Linked DNA regions of Saccharomyces cerevisiae S288C. The protein of the gene in region 1 interacts with the protein of each later gene in a biochemical or structural test. Each region holds a gene or a part of one and is shown in the gene's direction. Other genes may lie near its edges. The genes, in order: LAS17, RVS167, ARP2 and YSC84.

Region 1 (8,086 bases):
TAAGTGAATTGATTAGATAAAGCATGTTTATCACATAAAGTCTTTTTTCATAGTAGCAACGATGCTTGATACCATTATGATTTATATCTTTTATCCCCATCGTCGGTTATCTAAAAATTAAAATCAAAAAAAATACATAATCATTGTATACTACGATATCGCCTTTTCGGCTAGATTTCATATGCATCCCTCTCGGAAAACAACAACAGCACATATGCATAAAACCACTACTTTTAAAGACTCGACTTTGAGTGGCCTGGGTTACACAACTTGCGATATTTCGATGTTTTCTTCCCTAAGCGTCGCAGTTGAACAAAACATCGGCTAAATTCTTTTCTCTTAGCAGAAACTTCATAGAGTTCATTAATAGTGATGGCTCCTTTTAGGCTAGGGACCTTTTTCTGAAGTTCTTTCTGTCACTATCCTCCGCAACCGCCTTTAAACTATTGAATGATTACTTTGCTAGGCCAATTTTTTTCGATCATTAAAATAAATTCTGAATATACCATGAAAATAAAGTTGCGCTTGTGACCTTTTTCGAGAAACACCATTTCACTTGATTTTGCATAGTTATTAGCGAAAATAGCACGATTTTTTTTTTTTCGATGCATTTTCCCTTTGCTCTCCTTACCTGCAAGGTTAGCGCAAGCAAAATGTCAAAGATGCGTCTAATATAAACATGTATATATAGTCCAAGTGCATTCAAGGAATACTATCGTAACAACTTTTTTATCCTCCTTCGATTATGCAGTATCAATTGTCGAAGAAAAAGCTTAGGTCACAATATGGTCGAAGGACGGCATATCATGATTCTAAGAATGCCTTTCTTTCTAAAAAGATGACGTTTGGTTCTATTTCAGTTATTCCCAGTTTGCTACCCATTTTTCTTTTCATTCCTCGAATACTTCCAACAAACATATAAAAATTTTCGTAATCGTTGACCTATTTTGGGGAGTTCCTTTTTTCTTCTTTAGAACTCCCTTTGGTTATATTTATTACTACGCAGATTTCGAGTAGTTGTCACATCAAACAGAATAAAAGGGGTATTGTAAATTTACTGACTTTTCCATCAATCCCGTATGAATGGATGGCTTACATATCTTGGAACGCAGACTTCGAAATTAAGTATTTAGGAGTGAGAATGTGCGTTAGCATTTTGTCTCATATCTAAATATTCAAGTTTAACTTGTATTATTTGTCCTCAGTACAAGAGGTGTACGGCTTTTGAAAGTCCACTCCCCCATTTTTATCCGGATCTCTGCCGCTGGATTCTATTTTGTCACAAAGTTTGTGCCTTGGAGAGCGCCGTTTGCCAGCCCGTCATCAGTAGGACCCTTTTGTGCGGCTGCCAAATTTTCTAGAGATACCGCCGCGGCCGCCTCTTGTCTGGAAGAATTTGCATTGCCAAGGAAATTGATTCAGTTCATTAAGTACAGTTGTGAAGCACTTTAGTTACTTAACATGAATGACAGTTTTATTAGGTGTAAAAAAAAATCCTTTTTTTCAGAGAGCTATTTGTAAATATTATATGAATATTAAAAAACATCCTTTTTGAGTAAGAATTCCTATGAAACAAAATGGAACAATTTCACTTATATTGTAAGCGGATTTTACAACAGATATAAAATATTGTGCGCCAACATTAAAGTATTAAAGAACCCGGAATTTAACAATTGCAGAAGTATGATCGTGTAGTAGATTTTTTATGTTAAAATCCTATCTCTAAATGCTATATTATTATAACTTGTGGCGCCTGTTTCCCTCTTGAAGCTGTTTAAATCTTTTGAATGGCTCGCCGCTTGCCCAAAAAGGCAAGGTTCCGTTAGTCTCCATTGCTTGTGCTTTGATAAGCTTCTGTTTCATTTCACTGTGTAACAATTCTTTCATACCTAGTACACTTTTCGGATAAAGCCCTTCTAAATTCTGCTTTATGTCCTGAAGAACTTTTTCATTGAATGTTTCAGTATTTGTCAATTGATAATTTTTTGTAATAATAGTTCCTATCAATTCTTTAAATAGAACTGGTGTGCTGAAAATCATATGTTCGTTTGCAGAATTTATACCCAGTTTTTGAGTTAAGGTAACAGAAGTTCCCACTTCTGCGACAAAACCGAGATTGCTGAAGGGAAAAAGAAGAAATACTGAATCGTTTTGCGAGTAAACAATGTCACAAAGAGCAACTAGCGATGCGCTAAGTCCGATGGCCGGTCCATTCAAACAGCACACCAGAACCTTTTTATGGATTGCAAATGCGTTCGCCACAAATATGTTAGGAGAGCTTATAGCAGATACCAGCTTTGAGACTTTCTCCACTTCGCTTGTAACGTCTCCATCGTTTAGCTTGTTAACTGCTGAAAACTTACCTCCCGAGGAGAAATACTTGCCTGAGCTTTGTAGAACAGTAAACAAAACAGAATCAATATCGTTTGCCTTATGCAGTAATAGTGCAATGTATACAAAATCCTCGAAAGTTAAAGAGTTCAAATGTTTTGGATCAATTAATTTGATTATGAAAAAGGGACCATTAATATGGTAGCACACACGACTGCTCATAGTTAGAAGATAACTCACTAGACTTAACACCAGAAAATCCTACTCTGTAATAAAATAATCCCGGGGTAATGGATTGGATTTTTCTATCAGGATCGTTTACGTATATATAATACACTGTCGGAGTTTAGCGCGCTTACAGCCGCTACTTGTGGAGTCCTTTTTTTTTTTTTTTTTTTGGGGTTTCAGACATCCAGTAAAGAATAGAAACAAGCAACAAACTTCAGAACTGAAACAATGCTTTTTTAAGTTATCGCCTAAATATATTCAAAAAATATAGATATGCTAGATTTTCAATTATACCAAAGTTCATATTTTCAAAATGAATGTTAACAAAAAGACAAGTTGATGGCCCTTTTTCATAAAGTATGCGTTTAGTTTCAAGTAACGCCGGCTGACGTGGACGATTTATCAAAGAAGTGGTTTTGGAATACTCTTCTTTTGCAATTAGAAAAAAGGCAAAACTAAATGCAATGCAAGCAGTTGCCCATGGTACTTGAAATTGTGTCTCTGGTTTAAAAGATCTATGATATAAGTCTTAACTGATCTTATAGTTGTTTTTTTTTGAATTTTCCAAATAGTTTATATGATCATTGAATACGTGCGAGACGTCCGAAAAGGGGCCAGTCAATACCTATGAAAAAAAATCATGAATATGTAATAATAAATATTGAATGTAGAATATACATAGTAGAAAAGGAAGTGCTGTAGCGATTGCCATCTCCGCTACAAATTACAGTTCGTTACTTTAAGTGTTGATAGGCGTGATTTAATATGGGACTCCTAAACTCTTCAGATAAGGAAATTATCAAAAGGGCTCTACCAAAAGCGTCGAATAAGATTATTGATGTTACGGTGGCTCGACTATACATTGCATACCCTGATAAAAATGAATGGCAGTACACTGGACTTTCAGGAGCTCTTGCTCTAGTAGACGATCTTGTGGGGAATACTTTTTTTTTGAAATTAGTTGACATCAATGGCCATAGAGGAGTTATCTGGGACCAAGAATTGTATGTGAATTTTGAATACTATCAAGACCGTACTTTTTTTCATACATTTGAGATGGAAGAATGCTTTGCAGGTTTATTGTTTGTAGATATTAATGAAGCATCGCACTTTTTAAAGAGAGTTCAAAAGCGTGAAAGATATGCTAACAGGAAAACTTTGTTGAACAAAAATGCTGTAGCATTAACCAAGAAAGTAAGAGAAGAACAAAAATCTCAAGTGGTGCACGGCCCAAGAGGGGAGTCATTGATTGACAATCAAAGGAAAAGATATAATTATGAAGATGTGGACACAATTCCAACTACAAAGCATAAGGCTCCTCCCCCTCCTCCGCCAACGGCCGAAACATTTGATTCAGACCAAACAAGTTCATTTTCCGATATCAATTCGACAACAGCATCCGCACCGACTACCCCAGCCCCTGCTCTTCCTCCTGCATCTCCTGAAGTAAGAAAAGAAGAAACGCATCCAAAGCATAGTTTACCGCCTTTACCAAATCAGTTTGCGCCATTACCAGACCCTCCACAACATAACTCTCCACCTCAAAATAACGCGCCTTCGCAACCCCAAAGCAATCCATTTCCATTCCCAATTCCTGAAATTCCCTCGACACAGTCTGCAACAAACCCATTTCCATTTCCGGTACCTCAGCAGCAGTTTAATCAAGCTCCTTCAATGGGCATACCACAGCAGAATAGGCCCCTTCCACAGTTGCCTAACAGAAATAATCGGCCTGTGCCACCTCCTCCGCCAATGCGTACCACTACTGAAGGTTCAGGTGTTCGCCTACCTGCTCCTCCACCTCCGCCAAGGCGTGGGCCAGCACCACCGCCTCCACCACATAGGCACGTAACCAGTAATACCCTGAATTCTGCCGGTGGAAATAGCCTCCTTCCACAGGCCACTGGAAGAAGAGGGCCAGCACCACCACCTCCTCCAAGAGCATCTCGCCCCACACCAAACGTTACGATGCAACAAAATCCACAACAGTACAATAATTCTAACCGCCCCTTTGGATATCAGACAAATAGCAACATGTCATCTCCACCCCCTCCTCCAGTGACAACTTTCAATACCCTGACACCACAAATGACTGCAGCAACTGGACAACCTGCAGTTCCCCTTCCTCAGAATACTCAAGCACCTTCGCAAGCCACAAATGTGCCAGTGGCACCACCACCTCCTCCGGCATCTTTAGGCCAGTCGCAGATACCTCAGTCAGCACCCTCAGCACCTATTCCGCCAACGTTACCATCGACGACGAGTGCTGCACCACCTCCGCCACCAGCATTCCTAACTCAACAACCTCAATCTGGAGGAGCTCCAGCTCCACCCCCACCTCCTCAAATGCCAGCTACATCAACATCCGGAGGCGGTTCATTCGCTGAAACTACTGGAGATGCAGGTCGTGATGCACTTTTAGCTTCAATTAGAGGGGCAGGTGGCATAGGCGCTTTGAGAAAAGTTGACAAATCGCAGCTAGATAAGCCCTCAGTTTTACTGCAGGAAGCACGTGGAGAATCTGCTTCACCACCAGCAGCGGCTGGAAATGGAGGCACACCTGGTGGACCTCCGGCTTCTTTAGCAGATGCGTTGGCAGCAGCTTTAAACAAAAGAAAAACTAAAGTGGGAGCTCATGACGATATGGACAATGGTGATGATTGGTAATGGAATGCAAACAAAGATGAAACTACTGTTATAGAAAATATGTAATTTTATGTACTCACTATTAATGATCAAAGTAATTGCTCTTTTTATGTATAGTTTCTTTAATCGGAGGAAATTTTGATATAGGTTCAAAGGCGGTCAGTGATTGAATGATCAAGGTAATAGTCGGGCTACAATGATGGCCATCCCTATGGCCGTTTCAAATGTTTGAGAAAATGATGTATAGTAAATCCTAGATTTTAGCAGTTCGAATCAAAAACCCATGTAAAAAGGGTAAATATTTCCTAATTATAATATTTTTGTTTAATTACACATGTAGAACAATAAAAGTATAGAATTTTAGATAGTATCTATTGGACAGATGGACCTGGGTTCATTCTTCTCTTACCGTTAACCAAGGTAACGTTAACGAATCTTCTGGTGTACAATAATCTCTTGTAAGCACGACCCTTTGGTTTCTTTGGCTTTTCAGTTTTTTCAACCTTTGGAGTTTGAGACTTAACTTTACCAGCACGAGCTAGAGAACCGTGAACTTTAGCCTAAGGAGAATTTGAAAAAAAAAAAATTTTTCATTTAATGTTAGTAATGAGATATTCAGACTTGTGTTATGGAGTTACTGCAACGCAGACGCTAATTTTTTAGGAAAGGTCTATATTCAACATGTTGTGAATATTAACGAGAATAATCGTCCTTTGAAATTCTCGTCTTTCTTCCTTTTTTGTACATTTACATCTCAACATAATAATGATACAATATTTTATTTTCTTTTCATTTTTCAGTCATTATCTACAGGCATTTGATGGATTATTAATATTATCATGGGGCAATCTTTCCTATTCAAAATATTACTTTGATCGTAGTTTTCCCTTTTAATACACCTTCTTCCTGTATGGGGACAAGTTTCCTAAAAAAAGCGTTTCGTGGAGCATTTTAACACAATATTAACGTACCATTTTGTATAATTTGTTTATCTAGTATCTTGAGGAAGGAGTGCTAATTCAGAATCTTCATCCTTAATATTGAAGATTGGGATGAGATTACTTCACCATGGTGAATACGGGACAAAACTAATTGGAGGAAAATGCAGCATAGATGGGAAACTCGGTCACCCTTGCCCGCTAAGCAGAAGACGCAAAAAACATCTGCGCGAAAAAGAAATGGGTCCACAATATGTACGGATGTATGGTCCCAAAAGAAAAGCCATAATAAGGACAGGAAACCCGGATGACGGCATTAATTTACCTGACACCGGCCGAGGCACCTTAACTGCAGCCACAATTTGGTCACGAGCTTACCATTCAAATTATTCTTACCTTGTACGCCCAAAAGTAGTGACTCTTTCTAAGCATCGCGAATTAATGACTACTTTTCTTTTATACGTTTTATATGTATGTATATATATAAGTGCCTTCATAAAATAGACAAAGACATTAAGGAGCCTTTGAAATTACTTAATTGAACAACACAGGTCTAATTAGTTGATCAATCATCGATTAACCATTAGTGATAAGAAACAATGTCTTTGGAAAGAGAGGAACCACAACATTTCGGAGCAGGGCCAGCTCAAATGCCTACACCAGTTTTGCAACAAGCTGCTAAAGACTTAATCAATTTCAATGACATAGGTTTGGGTATCGGTGAAATTTCTCACCGTTCGAAGGATGCCACCAAAGTGATTGAAGACTCTAAGAAGCACTTAATCGAACTGCTAAATATTCCTGACACTCATGAAGTGTTCTACTTGCAAGGTGGTGGCACTACTGGTTTTTCTTCCGTTGCTACTAATTTGGCAGCTGCATATGTGGGTAAGCATGGGAAGATTGCACCTGCCGGTTATTTAGTCACCGGTAGTTGGTCTCAGAAATCTTTTGAAGAGGCAAAGAGATTGCACGTTCCTGCTGAAGTTATCTTCAACGCTAAAGATTATAACAATGGCAAATTTGGTAAAATTCCGGATGAATCCCTTTGGGAAGATAAAATCAAAGGTAAGGCTTTCTCATACGTGTACCTATGTGAGAATGAAACTGTTCATGGTGTTGAATGGCCAGAATTACCAAAATGTTTAGTAAACGACCCCAACATCGAAATTGTTGCTGACTTATCCAGCGACATTTTGTCTCGTAAGATTGACGTTTCTCAATACGGTGTCATCATGGCAGGCGCCCAAAAAAACATTGGTTTAGCAGGCTTAACCCTATACATTATCAAGAAATCCATCCTTAAGAATATTTCTGGCGCTTCTGATGAAACATTACATGAATTGGGAGTACCAATCACCCCTATTGCATTCGACTATCCAACGGTGGTGAAGAACAACTCAGCCTATAATACAATTCCAATTTTCACTTTACATGTTATGGATCTCGTGTTCCAACATATTTTGAAGAAGGGTGGTGTTGAAGCGCAACAGGCTGAAAATGAAGAAAAGGCCAAGATATTATATGAGGCATTGGATGCAAATTCAGATTTTTACAACGTTCCAGTGGATCCAAAGTGTAGATCAAAAATGAATGTCGTTTTCACCCTTAAAAAGGACGGCCTTGATGACCAGTTTCTAAAAGAGGCAGCTGCTCGTCATTTAACCGGTTTGAAAGGACATCGTTCAGTTGGTGGGTTCAGAGCCTCCATCTATAACGCGCTTTCAGTGAAAGCTGTACAAAACTTGGTAGATTTTATCAAGGAATTTGCTGAGAAAAACGCTTAATATCAGCGGAATATGCCTGTAATTTGGTTCAAAGAAAAACTTTTTCAAGTCATATGTAAGTTTTAAATAAATCAGTTTACGAACATGCACAAGAATAACTTCTCTTCTTTTTCTTGAAATAAAGGCCGAATTATACGATATGATATGAGACGTTCT
Region 2 (7,754 bases), on another chromosome or scaffold:
AGTAAGTTACGAATTGTGGTGTAGTGGTGATTTCGAAGTTTTCCCAATTATTGATCACAGAGAAATAAAGTCACAATCTGATCGTGAGTTTTTTTCAAGGGCATTTGAAAGAAAAGGTATGAAGTCAGAGATAAGGCAACTCGCTTTGGGTGATATTATATGGGTTGCCAAGAATAAAAATACCGGGTTGCAGTGTGTGCTCAACACCATAGTTGAAAGAAAAAGGCTAGACGATTTAGCTTTAAGTATAAGGGATAACAGGTTTATGGAGCAAAAAAATAGGTTAGAGAAATCTGGCTGTGAACACAAATACTATCTCATTGAGGAGACTATGAGTGGCAACATTGGAAATATGAATGAGGCCCTAAAGACCGCGCTTTGGGTCATTTTAGTGTATTACAAATTCTCCATGATAAGAACTTGCAATTCGGATGAAACTGTGGAAAAGATACATGCGTTGCATACTGTAATTTCTCATCACTATTCTCAAAAAGATCTCATAGTTATATTTCCAAGTGACCTTAAAAGCAAGGACGATTATAAAAAGGTGCTTCTACAGTTTCGTCGAGAATTCGAACGAAAAGGCGGTATTGAATGCTGTCATAATCTTGAATGCTTTCAAGAACTAATGGGAAAAGGCGATCTAAAGACGGTTGGTGAGCTAACTATACATGTTTTAATGCTTGTTAAAGGTATATCTTTAGAAAAAGCAGTAGCCATCCAAGAAATATTTCCTACCCTGAATAAAATACTAATGGCATATAAAACGTGCTCCTCGGAAGAAGAGGCTAAATTGTTGATGTTTAATGTACTGGGAGATGCACCTGGTGCGAAGAAAATTACTAAATCTCTTTCAGAAAAGATATATGATGCTTTTGGTAAACTTTAGCAATTTGAAATATAGTCATCCCTGCAAGGTTTTATAAAGAAAAAAGTGATGATATTCTTTTAACTAATATATACATATATAAGAAAAGAAGCCTTAATTTCTCACGGACAAATATACCAGAAGCATATCTGAAAGCCGCCCCAATGCATTATGATGCCACTTGACAACTCATCAATGGTAGGTACGAAAGACATAATGAACATCAATTCCATTATCAAAAACCCTTCCAACCTCTTCCAGTGACAAACCTTTGACTTCTGGATACCAAAAATATACGAAAAACCAGGCACAAACTGTGAAAAAAGCAAAAATGAGCATTGTATTTTCATCACCAATGGTGTTAATAGTGCTCAGATATGTCATTGAAACAAATGCATTGGTCAACCAATTTGTGCAGGCTATACATGATGCCCCAAATGATCTCCTGTTCAAGGGGAGAAATTCCACACAGGTCCATGGAACGCTGCCCATCGCAGAAGCATATGCTGCAACATAAATTACAACAGAAATTAAAAGTAAATTGACTTGGTCATGACCGAAACCTACACTGCAAAGAAGTAACCCAACAGTCATAATCAAAATTGTTCTCAAAAGAATGGCTCTTCTTCCCAAAGAGTCCATGGTGTACATGGCGAAAAAAGTGAATATGAAGTTCGTTGAGGCAATCAAAATTGGAGGCAGTAGAGGGTTTTTTATATTAAATTTGGAAAATATTATTGCCGCATAGTACATAAAAGCATTAAAGCCAGTGATTTGCTGGAAAAACATTAACATGCAACCTACTATTAACGCTCTTATTGTGCGTGGCTCCATTCTGTGTCTTTTCTTTTTGTTAGATGCCAGGGCACCGTTTGGAGCTGGGCCTCGCAACGCCGATAGATATGCTGATGAGGAGGACATTGTGTTGCTAGTTCTTTCTGTGTTCGAGGAAAGTCTTTTAATGTTAGGTGGGCTAAGAGTTCCTGAGGTTGAACTATCCATGTATCGAATAACCGATTGGGACTGTACTAGTAAAGGTTCACTTGCATCTTCGTATAGTCGTAACTTATCGAGTTCAATTATCAGCTGCTTAATTTTACTATTCACATGATATGTAGATGCAGTAGGATATAGCATTCTTAGAGAATCCCTGGTATATAGAATGTCTCCCTTGGAAATGGACCATCGTGGCGATTCAGGGATAAAATCCAGTATTGAAAGGAACAGAATAGCTGGAATAGCAGAAAGTGCGAACAAATATCTCCATGAATTATCAATCTCTTTCATAAGGGACGCAATCACATAGGAAACCAATTGACCTCCAGTGATGGCAATAATGTTCAATGTCAACATAAAACCCCTGATTCTGGAAGGTGAAATTTCACTCAGAAATAGAGGGACGCACTGGGCAGACACTCCAACAGCGATCCCAACCAGCAATCTCCCACAAATCAAAAACGTCAATGTTCTTGCTATAGCCATTCCAATTGCAGCTAGGATAAAAATTGAACAGCAGATTGCGAGAGTAATTCTTCTTCCATACCTATCTGCTAAAGGAAATGCCAGAATAGAGCCAAAAAATGATCCGACGCTTGTACTGGAAGTTATCAGCTCCTTCTGAACATCCGTTAAAACTACCAAAGATAGATCTTCGGGCTTTAAAGAAAGCAGAACACCTGATATAACACCAGTATCATAGCCGAATAAAAGCCCACCAATGGTAGCACCAACGAAGATTAACGACGTTTTGAACGTTAAAGCATATGGGAGTTGCTCGATGTCATTGGCAGTATTGGATGTTACCTGGGAGATAATGGAATACAGATCAGAATAAACGTCTTCACTTTCATCTGTAGACATACCTCTATCAAGTTTTGACTTTCCTGTCGCTTGCCTGTACGCTTTTGTTTTCTACTGAGAAAAGATACTTTTTGACCATGGACTATAAGTGCACGCTACAGTTGCACATATAAGGTTGTATATAGTTCAAGAAGTTCCTTTCGTATGGAAATTTTGTTATGTATACCTTCCAGTTGCTATGGTAGTCTACCTGACTAAATTATCAATCCGACCGATGTTCGGATGTTGCGATAATATTGGTACCGGAAAAAAAAAAGGAGAGGGCTTTGTAGTGTCGATGTTTAACAACCTGTTTTAAGGAATAAAGTAAAGTGAGGCTCACCTGGTCATTTAACACCAAGAATCAAGGAGCCAATAAGTGCACATGAGTTTTAAAGGGTTTACCAAGGCTGTTAGTAGGGCTCCTCAGTCCTTCCGTCAAAAGTTCAAGATGGGTGAGCAGACAGAGGATCCTGTTTACGAGGATGCAGAACGTCGTTTTCAAGAATTGGAGCAGGAGACAAAAAAATTAAGTGAGGAATCGAAGAGATACTCGACTGCGGTGAATGGAATGCTGACACACCAAATTGGATTTGCCAAATCCATGGAGGAAATTTTCAAACCTATCAGTGGTAAAATGAGTGACCCTAACGCTACCATACCAGAGGACAACCCACAAGGTATTGAAGCAAGTGAACAGTATAGGGCAATTGTCGCAGAATTACAGGAAACATTGAAACCGGATCTGGCTTTGGTGGAAGAAAAAATTGTTACGCCATGCCAGGAACTGTTGAAGATTATTACTTATATTCGTAAAATGGCCACCAAGAGAAATCACAAAAAATTAGATTTAGATAGACATCTAAACACTTATAACAAGCATGAAAAGAAGAAGGAACCAACCGCCAAAGACGAAGAAAGATTGTATAAAGCACAAGCTCAAGTGGAAGTGGCTCAACAAGAATATGATTACTATAACGACTTGCTAAAGACTCAATTACCAATACTGTTCAGTTTGGAAGCTGAATTTGTGAAACCATTATTTGTCTCATTTTATTTCATGCAATTGAACATTTTTTACACTTTGTATAATAGACTTCAAGACATGAAGATTCCATATTTTGATTTGAACAGTGACATTGTAGAGTCGTACATTGCCAAGAAAGGCAATGTGGAAGAACAAACGGACGCCTTGACTATTACACACTTTAAACTCGGTTACTCTAAGGCAAAATTGGAGATGACCAGAAGGAAGTATGGTGTAGCAACCGCCGAAGGCTCACCCGTCAGTGGCGCATCAAGCGGTGTCGGATATGGTGCTGGGTATGATCCAGCAACTGCCACTTCTCCAACCCCTACAGGATACGGTTATGGTGCCGCAGCACCAAGTTACGCCGCTCAACCTGCTGCCCAGTATGGTACTGCTGCCGCCGTTGGTACTGCTGCTGCTGTTGGTACTGCTGCTGGTGCTGCTGCTGGCGCTGTTCCGGGTACTTATCCACAGTATGCTGCTGCGCAATCTCCACCGCTCACTGGGCTAGGCTTCCAACAATCACCACAGCAGCAACAGGGACCACCACCGGCCTACTCTAATCCTCTAACATCACCTGTTGCGGGCACACCAGCCGCGGCCGTAGCGGCAGCTCCTGGCGTTGAAACTGTTACCGCATTGTATGACTACCAAGCTCAAGCTGCTGGTGATTTGTCTTTCCCTGCCGGCGCAGTTATAGAAATTGTCCAGCGTACTCCGGACGTGAACGAATGGTGGACAGGAAGATACAATGGCCAGCAAGGTGTGTTTCCTGGGAACTACGTGCAACTCAACAAGAACTAGAGGAGGCCCCTGCATCCCTCTGTATTCATTACCTTCTATTGTGAGATGTTACCATTACCTTTTTCTTTTATTGTAATGTTTCTTAATTTAAATACTATATAGGGTAATTCATCCTTCCACCAACAAAGTATCGTTTGAGTCTATCTATTACGGGCATGCGGCGAGCATATTACCCTACTGACAATATCCCAAAAGGGAAGGAGCGCGTTCCCAATAGGGCTGCCACCTTCCCAATATGGTACAAAGCCTACCATATGGGGAAATCAGTTTTCTCGCTCACCTCGCCTAGTCTTCCTAAAACGACGTTCCTCAGTCTCCTTTCTCTTTTATAAAACACCATCTCTGTCTTGTCGATGACACAGCCCAGTTGGGAAACCGGTGCTGACAAACAGGAAAAAAGCAAGACTAGTGGCCTGGCGCGGAAGAAACTGAGCTACATTGCACAACATCTTCAAGCAGGGTGTACGCATTCATTACTTTAATACTAAATTTAGAAGAAATCATCCTTTTTACTCGCGAAACTGTTAGGCTTGATCGGACGATCTCAGAAGAGGAAAAACAAATTGATAAAGTCTTCGTTAGGTTTCCTAGAATAGCAGGCCCGTTACAAAAAATTTTTTTACCCATTCCACTGGTTTTATTCACTAGTGACTTGAAAACTCCACATATTTTTGATCTCTTAAGCTTTCACGCATCACAAAGTTATCAGAACAAATTTTCTCCAGAAAGTTATATTGCAGTGTTCAAAAAGCCGTTCTCATTTCACAGCAATTTTTTTCTAAAGTAGAGGGGCAGAGAAATTAGCCTTCACAAGTTTGCTTTCGAGCTTCCAATTTGATTCCTGCTTTGGTCTTACTTTCATCCTCTCAATACCACTAAGATAAACTAAAAATATCTTTATAATGCCAAATAATACTCTTAAACAAGGCTCCAAAATTGAAAATGTTTCTCCCTCTAAAGGTCATGTCCCAAGTTTTTGGAAGCAGTTCATAAACAACCCTAAGAGTATGTCATCCGAAAATATTACAGTCCCTAGATCACCAACTTCTCTTTCAAGGAATGCTCAACCAACTACTTTAAAACGGCCTCCATTATCTTCAAGACCATATTCATATAATACCCCAACCAAAGATAGGAAATCCTTTTCCAAATCCGCGAAACAGAACAATAACAATAACAACGCTAATTCCGGAACATCGCCTCACGCAGAGTTCAAAAATTACAGAGATATGTTTTTATCTAATAGAAATGGTTTCACAGGTAGGGTTTTCGGTGTTACTTTAGCAGAATCGTTGAGCGTCGCCAGTGCAGAGGTCATTGTTCAAAGTGAGTTGGTGAGTTTTGGTCGGATACCCATCGTGGTAGCCAAGTGCGGCGCATACTTAAAAGCAAATGGATTGGAGACCTCGGGTATATTTCGTATAGCGGGCAATGGTAAAAGAGTAAAAGCCCTTCAATACATATTCTCGTCGCCACCTGATTATGGTACCAAATTCAACGATTGGGAAACATATACAGTGCACGATGTTGCATCGCTCCTGAGGAGATACCTTAATAATTTGGCCGAACCACTAATACCTTTATCCCTATATGAACAATTCAGAAACCCGCTACGATCTAGACCAAGAATCCTAAGGCATATGTTGACCCACGAAGTTTCTCATCCGAATGCGAATAAAACAAATAATGTAACAGTAAAATCAAGTAGACAGAACTATAATGATGATGGTGCTAATGATGGTGACATCGAAAAGGAGGACGCTAAAGATGATGAAGAAAAAAGACGAAGAAAAATACGTCATAAGAGAAGGCTGACCCGCGATATAAGGGCAGCTATCAAGGAATATGAAGAGCTCTTTGTTACCTTATCAAATGACACGAAACAGCTAACTATATACCTACTCGATTTACTGAGTCTTTTTGCAAGGCAATCACAGTTTAACCTAATGTCTGGTAGAAACTTGGCGGCCATCTTCCAACCTTCAATATTATCGCATCCTCAACATGATATGGACCCCAAAGAATACGAGTTATCCCGACTAGTAGTGGAATTTTTGATTGAATACTCGTACAAGCTATTACCCCATCTTTTGAAGTTGGCTAAAAGGGAACAACAGGAACGGTTGTCAACCGAAAATAAGAAAAATAATGGAGATAAACAGAAAACTGATCCTATAGAAATACCAAAGATCACCTCATCGGATTCGCCACCAATAGTTTCTTCCAATAAAAACCCACCGGCGATTGACAATAACAATAAACTAGACCATACGACGTTATCGCCAATATCTACTTCGATACCGGAGAACTCATCAGACCTACAGACTTCAAAAATGTTAAAGCCTCCGAAGCAAAGAAGACCACACTCAAAATCGTTTGGTTCTACTCCGGTTCCTCCGGATGTTATTGCTAGTAATAAAAGAAGAACGAGTTTATTCCCGTGGTTACATAAACCGGGAATTTTGAGTGACACAGGAGACAATGGCGACTTAACTGCTACTGAAGCTGAAGGTGATGATTATGAAGAAGAAAATGTTGATCCATACGGTCAGTCTCCATCTAGCGTACACTCAGGTTCTTTGCCCAAACAGCATTATCTGCCAATTCCTCGAATGAACAGATCGTTGAGTGGAAACAGTACCAATTCGTCCTTTAACACTAGACCTATTTCAATGATCCTGACCAGTGGTAATGATAATTCCGCTGATCAATTAGAATTACTAAGTAACACTCATAGCAATAATGAGCGCAGTAATGCTTTACCATTAACCGAAGATGATGGGGATGAAAGAAATTCAAGATCACGCAAGAGGGAATCATGGTTTCAAAGACTAACAAGCCGTTCAGGCTCTGCTAACAGGGCTTGATAACACCATTTTTCTTTCCTTTTAATTTCCTCATTTTTTTTTTTTTCGTTATTTCCCTTAAAAACCTGTTGGCGGTTTTCTTTCTTTTTCTTTGCCTTCTGTATAAATAACAAATAAACATCATTCCCCTTTCAAGATTTATAACCATAAAGGGAACATATATAACATAAATCATGAAGAGGACAAATTACGGACAATTATTCTGTAGCGATGCTAATCAGTATAAAATAAAAGAATAAAAATTCTTAAGTTGTTAATATGCCAGAGAAATGTTACAGCTTGTAACTCTTCAATAATGAATTTCTATGTTATATGACTGGCTGTTTCATATAAGCTATAACAGGGA
Region 3 (7,499 bases), on another chromosome or scaffold:
AGTTGAATGAATTACTTGCATCTTTGCCTACAACAAGACAGACTTTGTTGTTTTCTGCTACTCTACCTAATTCATTGGTTGATTTTGTTAAGGCTGGTTTGGTTAATCCAGTTTTGGTTCGTTTGGACGCGGAAACGAAAGTTTCAGAGAACTTAGAAATGCTTTTTCTATCCAGTAAAAACGCAGATAGAGAGGCGAACCTATTATATATTTTGCAAGAAATCATAAAGATTCCGTTAGCCACTAGTGAACAACTTCAAAAGCTGCAAAATAGTAACAATGAGGCAGATAGTGACTCAGATGATGAAAATGATCGCCAAAAGAAGAGGAGGAATTTCAAGAAGGAAAAGTTCCGTAAACAAAAAATGCCTGCAGCTAATGAACTTCCTTCTGAAAAAGCAACTATTCTGTTCGTTCCAACAAGACATCATGTGGAATACATTTCTCAACTCTTAAGAGACTGCGGATACTTGATTTCGTACATCTACGGTACTTTGGACCAACATGCTCGTAAACGTCAATTATATAATTTTAGGGCGGGCTTAACTTCCATTTTGGTTGTTACAGATGTTGCTGCAAGAGGTGTCGATATTCCAATGTTAGCCAATGTTATTAATTACACATTACCTGGTTCATCAAAAATTTTTGTACATCGTGTAGGTAGAACTGCAAGAGCCGGTAACAAAGGTTGGGCATATTCCATTGTCGCTGAAAATGAATTACCTTACCTATTAGATTTGGAGCTATTTTTGGGGAAAAAAATTCTTCTAACACCAATGTACGATAGTCTAGTCGACGTGATGAAGAAAAGGTGGATAGATGAAGGAAAACCGGAATATCAATTTCAACCCCCAAAGCTTTCTTACACAAAAAGACTCGTTCTAGGTTCATGTCCAAGACTGGATGTTGAAGGCTTAGGTGATCTTTATAAGAATCTGATGTCCTCTAATTTTGACCTTCAGTTGGCGAAGAAAACAGCCATGAAGGCAGAAAAACTTTACTACAGAACACGCACTTCCGCCTCCCCTGAATCTTTAAAGAGAAGTAAAGAGATCATTTCTTCTGGCTGGGATGCTCAAAATGCATTTTTTGGTAAAAATGAAGAGAAGGAAAAATTGGATTTTTTGGCTAAATTGCAAAACAGAAGAAACAAGGAAACGGTATTTGAGTTCACCAGAAACCCAGACGATGAAATGGCAGTGTTTATGAAAAGGAGAAGAAAGCAATTAGCGCCAATTCAACGAAAGGCGACTGAAAGAAGGGAACTATTAGAAAAGGAAAGAATGGCTGGTCTTTCACATTCTATCGAAGATGAAATTTTGAAAGGTGACGATGGTGAGACAGGTTACACCGTGTCAGAGGATGCCTTAAAAGAATTTGAAGATGCGGACCAATTATTAGAAGCACAGGAAAACGAAAACAAAAAGAAAAAGAAACCGAAGTCTTTTAAGGATCCAACTTTCTTTTTAAGTCACTATGCGCCAGCTGGTGACATACAAGATAAACAATTACAGATAACCAATGGGTTCGCTAATGATGCTGCTCAAGCGGCTTACGATTTAAATAGCGATGATAAAGTGCAAGTTCATAAGCAAACAGCGACCGTAAAATGGGATAAAAAAAGAAAAAAATATGTTAATACTCAAGGTATTGATAACAAGAAATATATTATTGGTGAAAGTGGCCAAAAAATCGCGGCAAGCTTCAGGTCTGGTAGATTTGATGATTGGTCGAAGGCAAGAAATTTGAAACCATTGAAGGTAGGTTCGAGAGAAACAAGCATACCATCTAACTTGCTCGAAGACCCTTCACAAGGTCCTGCTGCAAATGGTAGAACCGTCCGTGGGAAATTCAAGCATAAACAAATGAAAGCGCCTAAAATGCCAGATAAACACAGAGACAATTATTATTCGCAAAAGAAGAAGGTGGAAAAGGCTCTACAAAGTGGAATTTCCGTCAAGGGATATAATAACGCTCCGGGTCTGCGAAGCGAATTGAAGTCCACTGAGCAAATTAGAAAGGACAGGATTATAGCAGAGAAAAAACGTGCGAAGAATGCTCGTCCTTCCAAAAAGCGTAAATTTTAGATAGTTTAAAACCATCTAGATCTACAGATATATAGTTTACATATGTACCATAGCAAGAAAACAAAAATAGATAGCGAGTCCGTTCTTCATAATTCTTTGTAGTTCTTTGTGATTTCAGTATTTTGTCGATGTAAGTCATGTTCAATATTTTTTTTGTAGCGCATTTTATTCTAACTTTCCGATGAGGCAACAAAGAAGTGTTAAGTATCGGCTGACGAAGTGCAATAAAAAGTACTTAGTTATACGGTAGATCAAGAACCTTCGGTGAGCCAAGCGAGGGTGTATACATTCATTTAATTTTGCTTTAATAGGAGTAGGAGGGCATCATCTCAATGAATTTACTTGAAACAAGGAGGTCCTTGTTGGAGGAGATGGAGATTATTGAAAATGCCATAGCAGAAAGAATTCAGCGGAATCCAGAGTTATATTACCACTATATACAAGAATCGAGCAAGGTGTTTCCTGATACTAAACTGCCTAGATCATCGTTGATTGCAGAGAATAAAATATACAAGTTTAAAAAGGTTAAGAGGAAGAGAAAACAGATAATTTTGCAGCAACATGAGATAAATATTTTTCTTCGAGACTACCAAGAGAAACAACAAACTTTTAATAAAATCAATCGTCCAGAAGAGACACAGGAGGATGACAAGGATTTGCCTAATTTCGAAAGAAAACTACAACAGCTAGAGAAGGAACTGAAAAATGAAGATGAGAACTTTGAATTGGATATCAACTCTAAAAAAGACAAATACGCTTTATTCTCATCTTCTTCTGATCCATCGAGGCGCACAAATATATTGTCTGACAGAGCTCGAGACCTAGACTTAAATGAAATATTTACTAGAGATGAGCAATATGGTGAATATATGGAGCTGGAACAATTTCATTCTTTATGGTTGAATGTAATTAAACGGGGCGATTGTTCACTGCTTCAATTTCTCGACATCCTAGAATTATTTTTGGACGACGAGAAATATTTGCTAACCCCACCGATGGATCGCAAGAATGATAGATACATGGCCTTTTTGCTAAAGTTGAGCAAATATGTAGAAACTTTTTTCTTCAAAAGTTATGCTTTGCTTGACGCTGCGGCAGTTGAAAATCTAATCAAATCTGACTTCGAACATTCATACTGTAGGGGATCTCTTCGGTCCGAGGCAAAAGGTATCTATTGCCCTTTTTGTTCGAGGTGGTTCAAGACATCTTCCGTTTTCGAAAGCCATTTAGTAGGGAAAATTCATAAGAAAAATGAATCTAAAAGAAGAAATTTTGTGTACTCTGAATATAAACTGCATCGGTATTTGAAATATTTAAATGATGAATTTTCTCGAACGAGAAGTTTTGTTGAAAGAAAACTGGCATTTACTGCAAATGAAAGAATGGCAGAAATGGATATCTTAACACAGAAGTATGAAGCACCTGCATATGATTCGACGGAAAAAGAGGGGGCCGAACAAGTGGATGGTGAGCAGAGAGATGGTCAACTGCAAGAAGAGCACCTCTCTGGTAAATCGTTTGACATGCCATTGGGTCCGGATGGATTGCCTATGCCATACTGGCTATACAAACTGCATGGGCTTGACAGAGAGTATCGCTGCGAAATTTGTTCGAATAAAGTTTATAATGGGCGACGCACTTTTGAAAGACATTTCAACGAAGAAAGACATATTTATCACTTGCGATGCCTTGGTATCGAACCTTCTTCAGTATTCAAGGGCATAACCAAAATTAAGGAGGCACAAGAGCTCTGGAAAAATATGCAGGGGCAGTCACAGTTGACATCTATTGCAGCAGTTCCCCCAAAGCCTAATCCTTCACAACTAAAAGTTCCTACAGAATTAGAACTAGAAGAAGAAGACGAAGAAGGAAATGTAATGAGTAAGAAGGTCTACGATGAACTTAAGAAGCAAGGTTTGGTGTGAAATCTCTCTGTGATATGTATATTTGTTTGATAGATAGCAGTTGTATGTATTTATACTATTCTTAGTAATGACCTTATTACCCGTCTTGTAGAATTGAAAGGCGAAAAACAATTTGAGGACCCATATAATGGAAGAAAACGGACGTGAAAGTTAAATATACGTACCAGAAGACAAATCACAGTAATAAACTAACAAAACTATATAATAATAATGGACCCACATAATCCAATTGGTATGTTGTTGATATTTTTAGTGTTTGTGGAGGCAATTGAGCTCGGTGCCCCTTTTGGCTTTGCCTCTTTTGCATTTTAGTTCTTTTACCCCTATATTATTAATACTAACCATCTCGATATAGTCCTTGATCAGGGTACTGGTTTCGTCAAAATTGGTCGTGCTGGCGAGAATTTCCCAGATTACACGTTTCCTTCTATTGTTGGTAGACCCATCTTGAGGGCGGAAGAACGTGCCAGCGTTGCTACACCATTAAAGGACATTATGATTGGTGATGAGGCAAGTGAAGTTCGCTCTTATCTGCAAATATCTTATCCTATGGAAAACGGTATTATTAAGAATTGGACAGATATGGAACTTCTTTGGGATTACGCCTTTTTCGAGCAAATGAAACTACCATCCACCTCCAACGGTAAGATTTTACTAACGGAACCTCCAATGAATCCGCTGAAAAATAGGGAAAAAATGTGTGAGGTAATGTTCGAAAAATACGATTTTGGCGGAGTTTATGTTGCCATCCAAGCTGTTCTAGCATTGTACGCACAAGGTTTGTCTTCAGGAGTCGTCGTCGATTCCGGTGACGGTGTTACTCATATAGTCCCAGTTTACGAATCTGTCGTTTTGAGCCACTTAACAAGAAGATTAGATGTTGCGGGTAGAGACGTTACTAGGCATTTGATTGATCTGCTTTCTCGTCGTGGTTATGCATTTAACAGAACTGCAGATTTCGAAACTGTGCGTCAGATAAAGGAAAAATTATGTTATGTTTCATATGATTTAGACCTAGATACAAAATTGGCTAGAGAAACAACCGCCCTTGTGGAATCGTATGAGTTACCAGATGGCAGGACAATCAAAGTGGGACAAGAGAGATTTGAAGCACCAGAATGTTTGTTCCAACCTGGTTTGGTTGACGTTGAACAACCTGGCGTGGGCGAGCTGTTATTTAATACTGTGCAATCGGCTGATGTTGATATCAGAAGTTCCCTGTATAAGGCCATTGTTCTTTCAGGTGGTTCAAGTATGTACCCAGGGCTGCCTTCGAGATTAGAGAAAGAATTGAAACAATTATGGTTTAGTAGAGTTTTACACAATGACCCTTCAAGACTTGATAAATTCAAAGTTAGAATTGAAGATCCTCCAAGGAGAAAGCATATGGTTTTCATTGGTGGTGCCGTTTTAGCTAGTATCATGGCTGATAAAGACCACATGTGGTTGTCTAAGCAAGAATGGCAAGAAAGCGGGCCATCTGCAATGACTAAATTTGGTCCAAGATAGATTTGAACTTTATTGATCCAAAAGAATTAATAAAAAAGTTTAAATCTACGAATGAAAAATGGAAATGGAATAATATAAACTTATATATAAATGTAATAAGTTAATAAGGCACAATTGTTGAACAAGCAATCAAAATATAATATTTCACTGAGCGCCGTTAGAGGATAGTTATCCTTTTCTTGGTATTTCAAGTATTCAGTGTCTGTGTCGAAAAATTGATTGATGATTTATTTAAATGAATATATATAAATATGTAAAAAAGAGTTGATCAAAGTAAATAAATCAGTACATGCATGGCAAACTCTAAATGTATTTATGTTCATAACTGGCACATGCTTTTCTTCCTTATGCGGCTCTTCTAAATTTTGTAATCTGCAAATTTCCTTAAAACAGTGTCTACCACATCATTGAGATCATCTTGTGATATATGAGGCTTCTCAGAGCCATATCTAACGGCATTCCTAATAAGGTCTTCCATAATCGATCCGGATATCATAAAAGGTTGAAGGAAAGTGCTACTCAGGACTTTATCCACAGTCCATCTTTTGTCTGGGTTCCTGTACAGACATGCTTTCATTAATTCAATGGCAGACTTTGGAATCTTTTCATTATTGCTAGTATGTTCAGGAAATGGGATTTTCACATCAGGATTCATAATAGCCAACAGCCTATTTTGGCCTTGGAAACTGCCATATGGGGGTTTCCCGTAAATCATCTGATATATAATACAACCGCATGACCACATATCAGATGGTCTCCCCACTTTCCACTTGTTTCCCTCATGTTGGTTCTCACTATTTTGTGTGTAATTCATAGCAACTAGTGCTTCTGGTGCCATATAATTTGGAGTCCCAATTTGAGTTTCACGATATATATTCACCGTATGTTCCGGTACCGCGTTTGCTATACCAAAATCAATGATTTTTAAGATACCTTTCACTAAAACAAAATTTGCAGGTTTTAAATCCGAATGAACTATGCCCGCATCATGAACTACTTTAATGCACAGCAACATTTCCTTTGTATAGAATCTAACAAAATTAAAATCCAGTGGCATGCCGCTTCTTTGGTTAAGGATTTGTGACAAATCATGATCACCACATTCCATTATCAAATACAATAAACCATCCCCCATTTCATAATCTAGTAGTTGGATTACACGCTTTTGGTCTTTCAATTTTTCCAGAAGTTCTATTTCTCCTTTGAATCCATCAATACTTGAATCGTCAAAAGCGTCAAAAGACACCCTTTTGAGCGCGTATACCCTATTGCCAGATCCTTTCACCTTGTAAACTCTGGAGGATCCACCTCTACCCAAAAGTTCTATTTTTTCGTACTGGGAGTCATTTACTGTAATTATATTTCTATTATTCGATAAAGAAGCGGACTTTGCAGGTTCAACAATTTCAACTTTCTTGGTGACTGGAGGTTTGGGAGCAGGTCGATGGTAAAATACTTCTAGATTTTTACTGTTTATATTCTCATTCGTTATTGCATCATCCAATGATCGTTTTAGTCTCTTATTCTCTTGTTGAAGGAGATTATCAGCGTGATTTGCATTTATGCTTATGTTTCGCAGTACTTCTCTTTTTTCGGAGTCGGAATCTTTATTTCTGGAAATTCCTTTATAAATTTTATGAATTGGGCTGTTGAAATTGCTGTTATTGCTAGTATCAATATTCTCCTTGAGAGCTCTTCTTATTTCGATCGATGACTTAGATGAAGATGATCCAGTAGAAACTTTTCGCCTGGGTTGAGAACCATTATTGGATGTTATAGAATTGTCCTTGTTTGCCAATAAGTTGTTACTAGAAAGTGAAGAGGAAGAAGACCTACTTTTATAAAGCAATTCTCTGGAACTATGTTTTCGGAGTGCTGCTTGTCTATTTTCTTCTCTTTGTTTATCAAAGTAGATTTGAGATATTAGTGGAAGGTCACTTGTGGGAAGATTATGTTTTTTAATATACTGGATAGGATT
Region 4 (7,565 bases), on another chromosome or scaffold:
ATCTGGCCTAGAACAGTTTTTTTTTTTCGATTATTTGTTCGTTCTTGTGGTGGTTACTCATTGGCAGAATCCCGAAAATCATGATTAGTAGATGAATGACTCACTTTTTGGATAAGCTGGCGCAAATTGAAACATGTGAAAAAAAAAAAAAAGGATTATAAAAGGTCAGCGAAGCACAGAACTCTGAGATAAGACTACCTTTCTTTAGCTAGGGGAGAATATTCGCAATTGAAGAGCTCAAAAGCAGGTAACTATATAACAAGACTAAGGCAAACATGTCAGACGGCACTCAAAAACTATGGGGTGGGAGATTCACTGGTGAAACCGATCCTTTGATGCACCTTTACAATGCGTCTCTTCCGTATGATTATAAGATGTATAAGGCAGATTTAGAAGGAACTAAAGTATACACAGCGGGCTTGCAGAAGTTGGGTCTTCTAACGGAGACAGAATTGGCAAAGATCCATGAAGGTTTGGCTGAAATCAAAAAAGAATGGGACGCTGACAAATTTGTCCGTCATCCAAACGACGAGGATATCCATACTGCGAATGAAAGACGTCTTGGTGAACTAATTGGCCGCGATATTGCTGGTAAAGTCCACACCGGTAGATCCCGTAATGATCAAGTTGTTACCGATTTGAGAATATACTGTCGTGACATTGTCAATGACACCCTCTTTCCAGCTTTAAAGGGCTTGGTTGAAGTTCTAATTAAGAGGGCCGAAGGTGAGATAGATGTCTTAATGCCAGGCTACACACATTTACAAAGGGCACAACCTATTAGATGGTCTCATTGGTTGAGCTCTTATGCAACATACTTCACCGAAGATTACAAGAGACTGGGTCAAATACTACACAGATTGAATCAATCACCACTGGGTGCAGGCGCTCTTGCTGGTCATCCTTACGGCATTGATAGAGAATTTTTGGCTGAAGGTTTGGGTTTCAATAGTGTAATTGGTAACTCCTTGGTTGCTGTTTCTGATAGAGATTTCATCGTGGAGTTGATGTTTTGGGGAACTTTGTTCATGAACCATATTTCTCGTTTTGCTGAAGATTTGATTATATATTGTACAGCAGAATTTGGTTTCATACAGTTGAGCGACGCCTATTCAACAGGTTCTTCTTTAATGCCTCAGAAGAAGAATGCAGACTCGTTAGAGTTGTTAAGAGGTAAATCCGGTAGAGTATTTGGTGATCTGACAGGATTCTTGATGAGTTTGAAGGGTATCCCATCTACTTATGATAAAGACATGCAAGAAGACAAAGAGCCACTATTCGATTGCTTAACAACTGTAGAGCACTCCATGCTGATTGCCACAGGTGTTATTTCTACCTTAACTGTAAATAAGGAAAAGATGGAAGCTGCTCTCACGATGGATATGCTAGCTACCGACTTGGCAGATTACTTGGTCAGAAAGGGTGTTCCATTCAGAGAGACTCATCACATATCTGGTGAGTGTGTCGCTACTGCTGAAAGACTTGGTCTAAGCGGTATTGATAAATTAACCTTGGAGCAGTATCAAAAGATCGATTCGAGATTCGGACAAGATCTTTTTGAAACTTTTAACTTTGAACAAAGCGTTGAAAGACGAGATGCTACTGGTGGAACCGCTAAATCTGCTGTATTGAAGCAATTGGATAATTTGAAATCCCAATTAAATTAGCAGATGGCGACGTTATGCGCAAGAATTTCATCAGGTCTGGTACTTCTAGGACTTCATCAACCCTTCTTTAAATACTTATTTTGTTATTAGTATTATATTTTCGAGATTGTGCTATGTATATATATACGTAGATAAGCAATTGTTATCTAATCAAGGATATTATTTGGATGATTTAGAAGATGACCGGCAAAAAAACGAAATAATGCTGCTATATACCTTGGCTAATCTTCCTCTCAAGCGTTTCAGGGAAAGACGTGTGTGATGGTTGAATATAAGTGAAGCAAATGGCCATGAGACTAAATAACTAAAACGGCCGCAATAATACACACTATTGTAACCTCCCAAAGTCGTTAACCAACTTAGCAGTTGTCTTAGTTTATACCCATTCGCACTCATTATCATTTTGTAAACTGGATAATGTAGGGCCTCGTGAATGTCTGAACCGGCCATTCTCAAAAATTTATAGTTCGATGGTTGTGACCCAATCTGCAGGATTCCAAGCTTGATTGTGGAAACATTTAACCTTTGATATTCCTTGAAAATTTTAAATAGTGAGTCGATTATTCCAGACGTTATAATTTCTGTACTATGATGGACTAAGTTCAGGTCCGCAGTCAAAGATGGATTGAACATAATTAGTTGGGTTTTTCTCTTCAAATGGGGTATAATGCTTAATAATGCTTGATAATACACAAATATACTTGAATGAATTTCAGATTCCAATGAGTCACATGAAATTACTCCGGATGGATGATATGATAACCTTGGCATAAACAATATGGATGCTAGCCTTGGTACATCAACAAAAAAACCCTCGAAGTCTTTTTCGCAGGTGGGATCAATGTAATATATGAAATCCTGATCTTCTTCGTGCTTCTTATAGACGTCTGCATTTTCAGTACAAATATATACTGTAAACCGTCTGCGATATAAATCCATCACTTGATTCCTTATGATAGGATCATTCATATCGCCCAGTATTAATACCACTTGAGATTCTGCTTCAGGTAAATTAGGTGGCAGTTTAAAAAAGGTCCTATACCCAAGGTATAAGCACAGGGAGGTGGCAGAAATTCCCAAGCCTAGCTTCCAATGATCCTGGAGCCCGATCCTCAAAGTTTTATATACTTTAGATCTGTTACTGTCGTTTTCCTGTAGTCGAGGAGTCTCCTTGTTGGATATCTTTCCAGATATGGATTCAATTGATTTTTCGACGTGGTTCTTGATCTCATCGCTCAAGACAGCGCTTTTCGAGACGAGCCAATACCCAGCATCAAATATCTGATCCACTATATCCTTACCACCAGACCAAGCCATTTTTATTTGTTTTTTTGAGAGCAAATATCTTCTGTTGTCTGTTTTATATTTCCTGTTTGTATGCCACCTACAACATTTTTACATGTTCCGACGCTGACCGAAAACGACCTGAAGGGAATTAAAGTTGACTACCCCCTAACTAGACCCTGTTCTTAACATTATCTATAACATGAAACTATCTTACACTTCACAGTAAAATTTTCAAGAGTAGTGGTAATATCAAATCCAAAATCCAAAAATGGGTATCAATAATCCAATTCCTCGAAGCTTGAAAAGCGAGACCAAGTATGTTCATATATATGCTTCCTGCTGCCCCTCCTCTAAACTTATGGATGCAGCTAAAATGTTCAAGATAGCTCTCTAGTCTGTGTCCATTGCTTATGGGGCATGAGTTTTCAAAAGTAATGTACTAACAACTTTATGATTGATTTATTTCGAATGTTTTAACTACAGGAAGGCCGCGAAAGTTCTAAGGAGTTTTGTTAAACCAAATCAAGTATTTGGAGCAGACCAAGTTATTCCACCATATGTGCTAAAAAGAGCTAAAGGTCTAGCAATTATCACGGTTTTAAAGGCTGGCTTCTTGTTTTCAGGGAGAGCAGGTTCTGGGGTGATTGTGGCCAGGTTAAAAGACGGTACATGGTCGGCTCCCTCTGCTATCGCTATGGCAGGTGCTGGTGCAGGTGGTATGGTCGGCGTTGAATTGACAGATTTTGTTTTTATTTTAAATTCGGAAGAGGCAGTGAGGTCCTTTTCTGAATTTGGTACAATTACTTTAGGTGGTAATGTGTCAGTTTCCGCAGGTCCTCTTGGAAGAAGTGCAGAAGCTGCAGCTTCTGCATCCACAGGTGGTGTCTCGGCAGTTTTTGCCTATTCCAAAAGCAAAGGTTTATTTGCCGGTGTGTCTGTGGAAGGTTCAGCCATCTTGGAGAGAAGGGAAGCTAATCGAAAGTTTTACGGCGATAACTGTACATCAAAGATGATTTTGTCAGGTAGAGTAAAAGTTCCACCAGCAGCAGACCCCCTACTCCGTATCTTGGAATCAAGAGCGTTCAACTTTACACGCCACGACCATGATGACAACGCTAGCGGTGATGATTTTTATGATGACGGTCAATACAGCGACAACACAAGCCATTATTACGACGATATTCCAGATTCCTTTGATTCTACTGATGAATCCTCAACACGTCCAAACACAAGATCATCAAGAAGAAGAGGAATGTCGCTGGGGTCACGCAGTCGTTATGATGATGATTATGATGATGATGGTTACGGACGTGGTCGCGGGTATGGAGATTTTGATAGCGAAGATGAAGATTATGATTACGGAAGATCTCCAAATAGAAACAGCAGCCGCAATAGAGGCCCACAGATAGATAGGGGTACTAAGCCGCGTGCGAATACCCGATGGGAAGATGATTTGTATGATAGAGATACTGAATACTCCCGTCCCAACCATTCCGGTAGGGATTATGATAATACCCGAGGAAATAGGCGTGGTTATGGTAGAGAAAGGGGTTATAGCCTTGGTCATGGCCCAACTCACCCCAGCAATATGAGCAATGTCGATGATTTATCACATAAAATGTCGAAGACAGGGTTAGGTAATGAATCCACTGCTACAAATTCGGCGACACCAACGGCTGTTGCTCTCTACAATTTTGCTGGAGAACAACCAGGCGACTTGGCTTTCAAAAAAGGTGATGTTATTACTATCTTAAAAAAATCAGATTCTCAAAATGATTGGTGGACAGGCAGGACTAACGGAAAAGAAGGAATATTCCCTGCAAACTACGTTAGAGTTTCTTAAATTATCGTCCTCCATATGTCTCGTTCCTATATATAGAATTTTTTTTTAGAGTTATGAAGTTGAGGATGGGTTCCTTATTCAGCTATGTTTACGAAATGTTTGTAGTTATATAATCACAATGGAAAGCTTCGAGGAACCACTTCTTAAGTACTCACTTAGTAGGTGGAGTATTTCTTGAAACTGGACTATACGCCATTAAACTAAAAAAAAATCGAGGCTGAAACTCCTTGGAATAATTCTGGGTAGATTAAGATAGCAAAGAAAACAATACTCTATTTTTATAGACATACGTACTTTTGTACCGAAAATTGCATATTGATGAACCTGCCTTCTTCCTTTAAAAGGAATCAAACTGTAAATCCGAGGCTTTCAGCAGCTCTAGTGACTTGTTTTTGTAGAATTTTCTGTGATTCTAATGAAGTATTTGTCATTAATAAAAAGTGCGATAGCCTTTCTGAGTCATGCTCCCAAAATACGTCAAAAATAAACTCGGAAATGCTGCGCAGATTTTCTTCTTTATTTAAACCAGAAATACTTATACGTTGTAAATTTCTGTTTATAATTTTTTTTAAGGACTCAAGTATTTCTGCATTCTCCTGTTTAGTTCTCTTAGGCTGATGCAGTTTTTCGTCAACAGTATTTGTAATTAAATTAAATGCTGGATGAGGTTTCATCGGCGTAGCTACGAGAGAGTTCATGTTTGTGTAGGAATTTGAATATGATGAGAATGGGGAAACTACTTGTTGAAACTGTGACGTTAATCCCTTTTGATGAGCTGATAACTCTTGTGTGCGGAAACGCATCATGGAACTAATGTTGATTAATTTCTTATAATTTTCATTGTTGTTACCATCGTCATAGTCTATCTCATTTAGTATATTATCATTATTCTTTGACCATGATGCCTCAACCAAACTACTTCCAATTAGTCTCCTATCCAAAATATTAAATAATCTCTCAGCATCACTACGAGAAAAACACTCAACATGTCCACAAAATGTCCAATTTAATGAGTTATAGTTTGTGATCTTAATTTCACTGAATCTTATTTTTTCTTGTAAACATAGTTGAGAAATAAACTCCTTATTGCAATTGAAGCTTAAATTTTTTAGATAAACCTTTGTTTTCTTGTTCGTTCCAATTTGATTATGAACAGGCTTATCTTTACCAGGACCAACCCAAATGGTATGGTTTTTAAAAATTGTTTTATTCAAACATTTCTGTGCCTTTTTAGATTCTTCTTCATTTTTATATGTGACGAACGCTTTATGTGGTGTGTTCGCCTGCTTTTCAGAGATGAATACAGATTTTATGGGGCCAATAGTGCTGAAGTAATCCAAGACCTCTTCTTGTGTTGTGTCAGATGGTAAATTTTTGACTAATATTGTTTTCGAACGAGCATTATCTGATAAATTATTGCTAGCCAATAGTTCGTCTTCGATAACTATGTCGGAGCCAATCATTTTTTTTCTTTTTGTAAATTCAGGTCTAGTTCTTACTTCTTTGTCAAAATGCAATCCACATATAATTTTATTTCCAAAAAATTCTTGGTTATTGTATTTTTTGATTACATTTCTAGCAGAAATATCGTTATCGAAATAAACGAACCCAATGTTTTTTCTTCTTTCTAGAAGACATGACAGTACATTTCCGTACTCGATCATTATTAGATAAAATGATCTTGTGGTCAGTTGGGGATTTTCCAGTGGTAAGTTAGAGAAAAAAACATTTGTTCCGATGTTTTTTCTAAATAATGTATTTTTCATAGATGGCATTATTTTAACTTCTTGACCAAAAAAAACCGTATAATTAAATTCTTTCCTTGCAGATTCTGCATCGTTTTTATCCTTGAAATTCAAATAGCCATAACCCAATGATTTTTTGGTGAGAAAATCACGACACACTTTAGCAGATTCAAAAGATTGATACCTTTTGAATATCTTCCTTAGCATTTCTTCAGTGACAGTTGATTTCAGATTTCCTATAAACAAACTATTTGTCTTTGAAGTTTTCGTGATATATTTTTGCACGCTTCCCTTTGCAACAGTTTTTTCAAATACTTGCTCTTGTTCTTTCTTTTCTTGAGTTGCATTTTTACAATCGTATTTTTTGAGGCTATTCTTTTCTTTGACTTCAGCATCCTTTAATTTCACATCACCGAGCTTATATCCAGCTCCTTGCACGCGTACTAGTGCTTGGGCTGATATCGTTTTGAAGCTTTTCTGCCTTGCATCTTTATCATTTGGGCAACTTTTAGAAATCGATCTGGGATTTTGCTTGCTATTTAAAGAGATATTATTCAATACATTACCATGAGAGTTTGGCATCTTTTTTTAGGGAATTTTTCGTATTTCTGCTTTTATTGACTTGGATAATTCATTATGTTAAGTAAGCTCTAATTGCTAAAAATGCCATAAAAAGAAAACTTATTGGAAAAGGACCGCCATTTCGAACGGAATTTGTGACACAAGTTCATTTTAGCAAAAAAAGGTCCTACCCGGATTCGAACCGGGGTTGTCCGGATCAAAACCGAAAGTGATAACCACTACACTATAGGACCGGAACTTACTGGTCGATCTGAAAATCATGATCGAATACGTCATCCTTGCATTACCCAAAATCAATCAATTTTTAATGAAATACATCAAATTTTGATTGTTGTTATGAAACTTCAAAATATCATCCGTTTATTAGTACTCACGCTACTAGTTTATTGTCAAATAAGTTGTAAGAAGATGGCATAAACATTGAGAAACAGTCATCAATTC

What was found.
Region 2: the proteins of LAS17 (region 1) and RVS167 interact in a test that uses a peptide from one of them, tested with the Saccharomyces cerevisiae proteins (4 studies listed by BioGRID, with this or other methods).
Region 3: the proteins of LAS17 (region 1) and ARP2 form a complex in vitro, tested with the Saccharomyces cerevisiae proteins (4 studies listed by BioGRID, with this or other methods).
Region 4: the proteins of LAS17 (region 1) and YSC84 interact in a test that uses a peptide from one of them, tested with the Saccharomyces cerevisiae proteins (4 studies listed by BioGRID, with this or other methods).

What each region holds. Positions count from the first base shown.
Region 1 is NC_001147.6:672,615-680,700, forward strand, and holds LAS17 (actin-binding protein LAS17), read left to right. Parts: upstream 1-3,324; coding exon 3,325-5,226; downstream 5,227-8,086. Other genes in the region: putative dodecenoyl-CoA isomerase DCI1, read right to left, coding at 1,738-2,553; 40S ribosomal protein eS30 RPS30B, read right to left, coding at 5,577-5,765, 6,177-6,179; FYV12 (Fyv12p), read left to right, coding at 6,258-6,647; SER1 (O-phospho-L-serine:2-oxoglutarate transaminase), read left to right, coding at 6,743-7,930.
Region 2 is NC_001136.10:1,247,094-1,254,847, forward strand, and holds RVS167 (amphiphysin), read left to right. Parts: upstream 1-3,092; coding exon 3,093-4,541; downstream 4,542-7,754. Other genes in the region: MUS81 (Mus81p), read left to right, coding at 1-889; CIN10 (Cin10p), read right to left, coding at 1,061-2,728; GTPase-activating protein SAC7, read left to right, coding at 5,444-7,408. UniProt on the Saccharomyces cerevisiae protein: Component of a cytoskeletal structure that is required for the formation of endocytic vesicles at the plasma membrane level.
Region 3 is NC_001136.10:395,118-402,616, forward strand, and holds ARP2 (actin-related protein 2), read left to right. Parts: upstream 1-4,222; coding exon 4,223-4,244; intron 4,245-4,367; coding exon 4,368-5,521; downstream 5,522-7,499. Other genes in the region: ATP-dependent RNA helicase DBP10, read left to right, coding at 1-2,087; SF3a splicing factor complex subunit PRP9, read left to right, coding at 2,420-4,012; serine/threonine/tyrosine protein kinase MPS1, read right to left, coding at 5,880-7,499. UniProt on the Saccharomyces cerevisiae protein: Functions as ATP-binding component of the Arp2/3 complex which is involved in regulation of actin polymerization and together with an activating nucleation-promoting factor (NPF) mediates the formation of branched actin networks.
Region 4 is NC_001140.6:134,113-141,677, reverse strand, and holds YSC84 (Ysc84p), read left to right. Parts: upstream 1-3,222; coding exon 3,223-3,269; intron 3,270-3,437; coding exon 3,438-4,797; downstream 4,798-7,565. Other genes in the region: argininosuccinate lyase ARG4, read left to right, coding at 276-1,667; YSC83 (Ysc83p), read right to left, coding at 1,827-2,984; MIP6 (Mip6p), read right to left, coding at 5,145-7,124. UniProt on the Saccharomyces cerevisiae protein: Essential for the organization of the actin cytoskeleton, fluid phase endocytosis and vesicle trafficking, together with LSB5.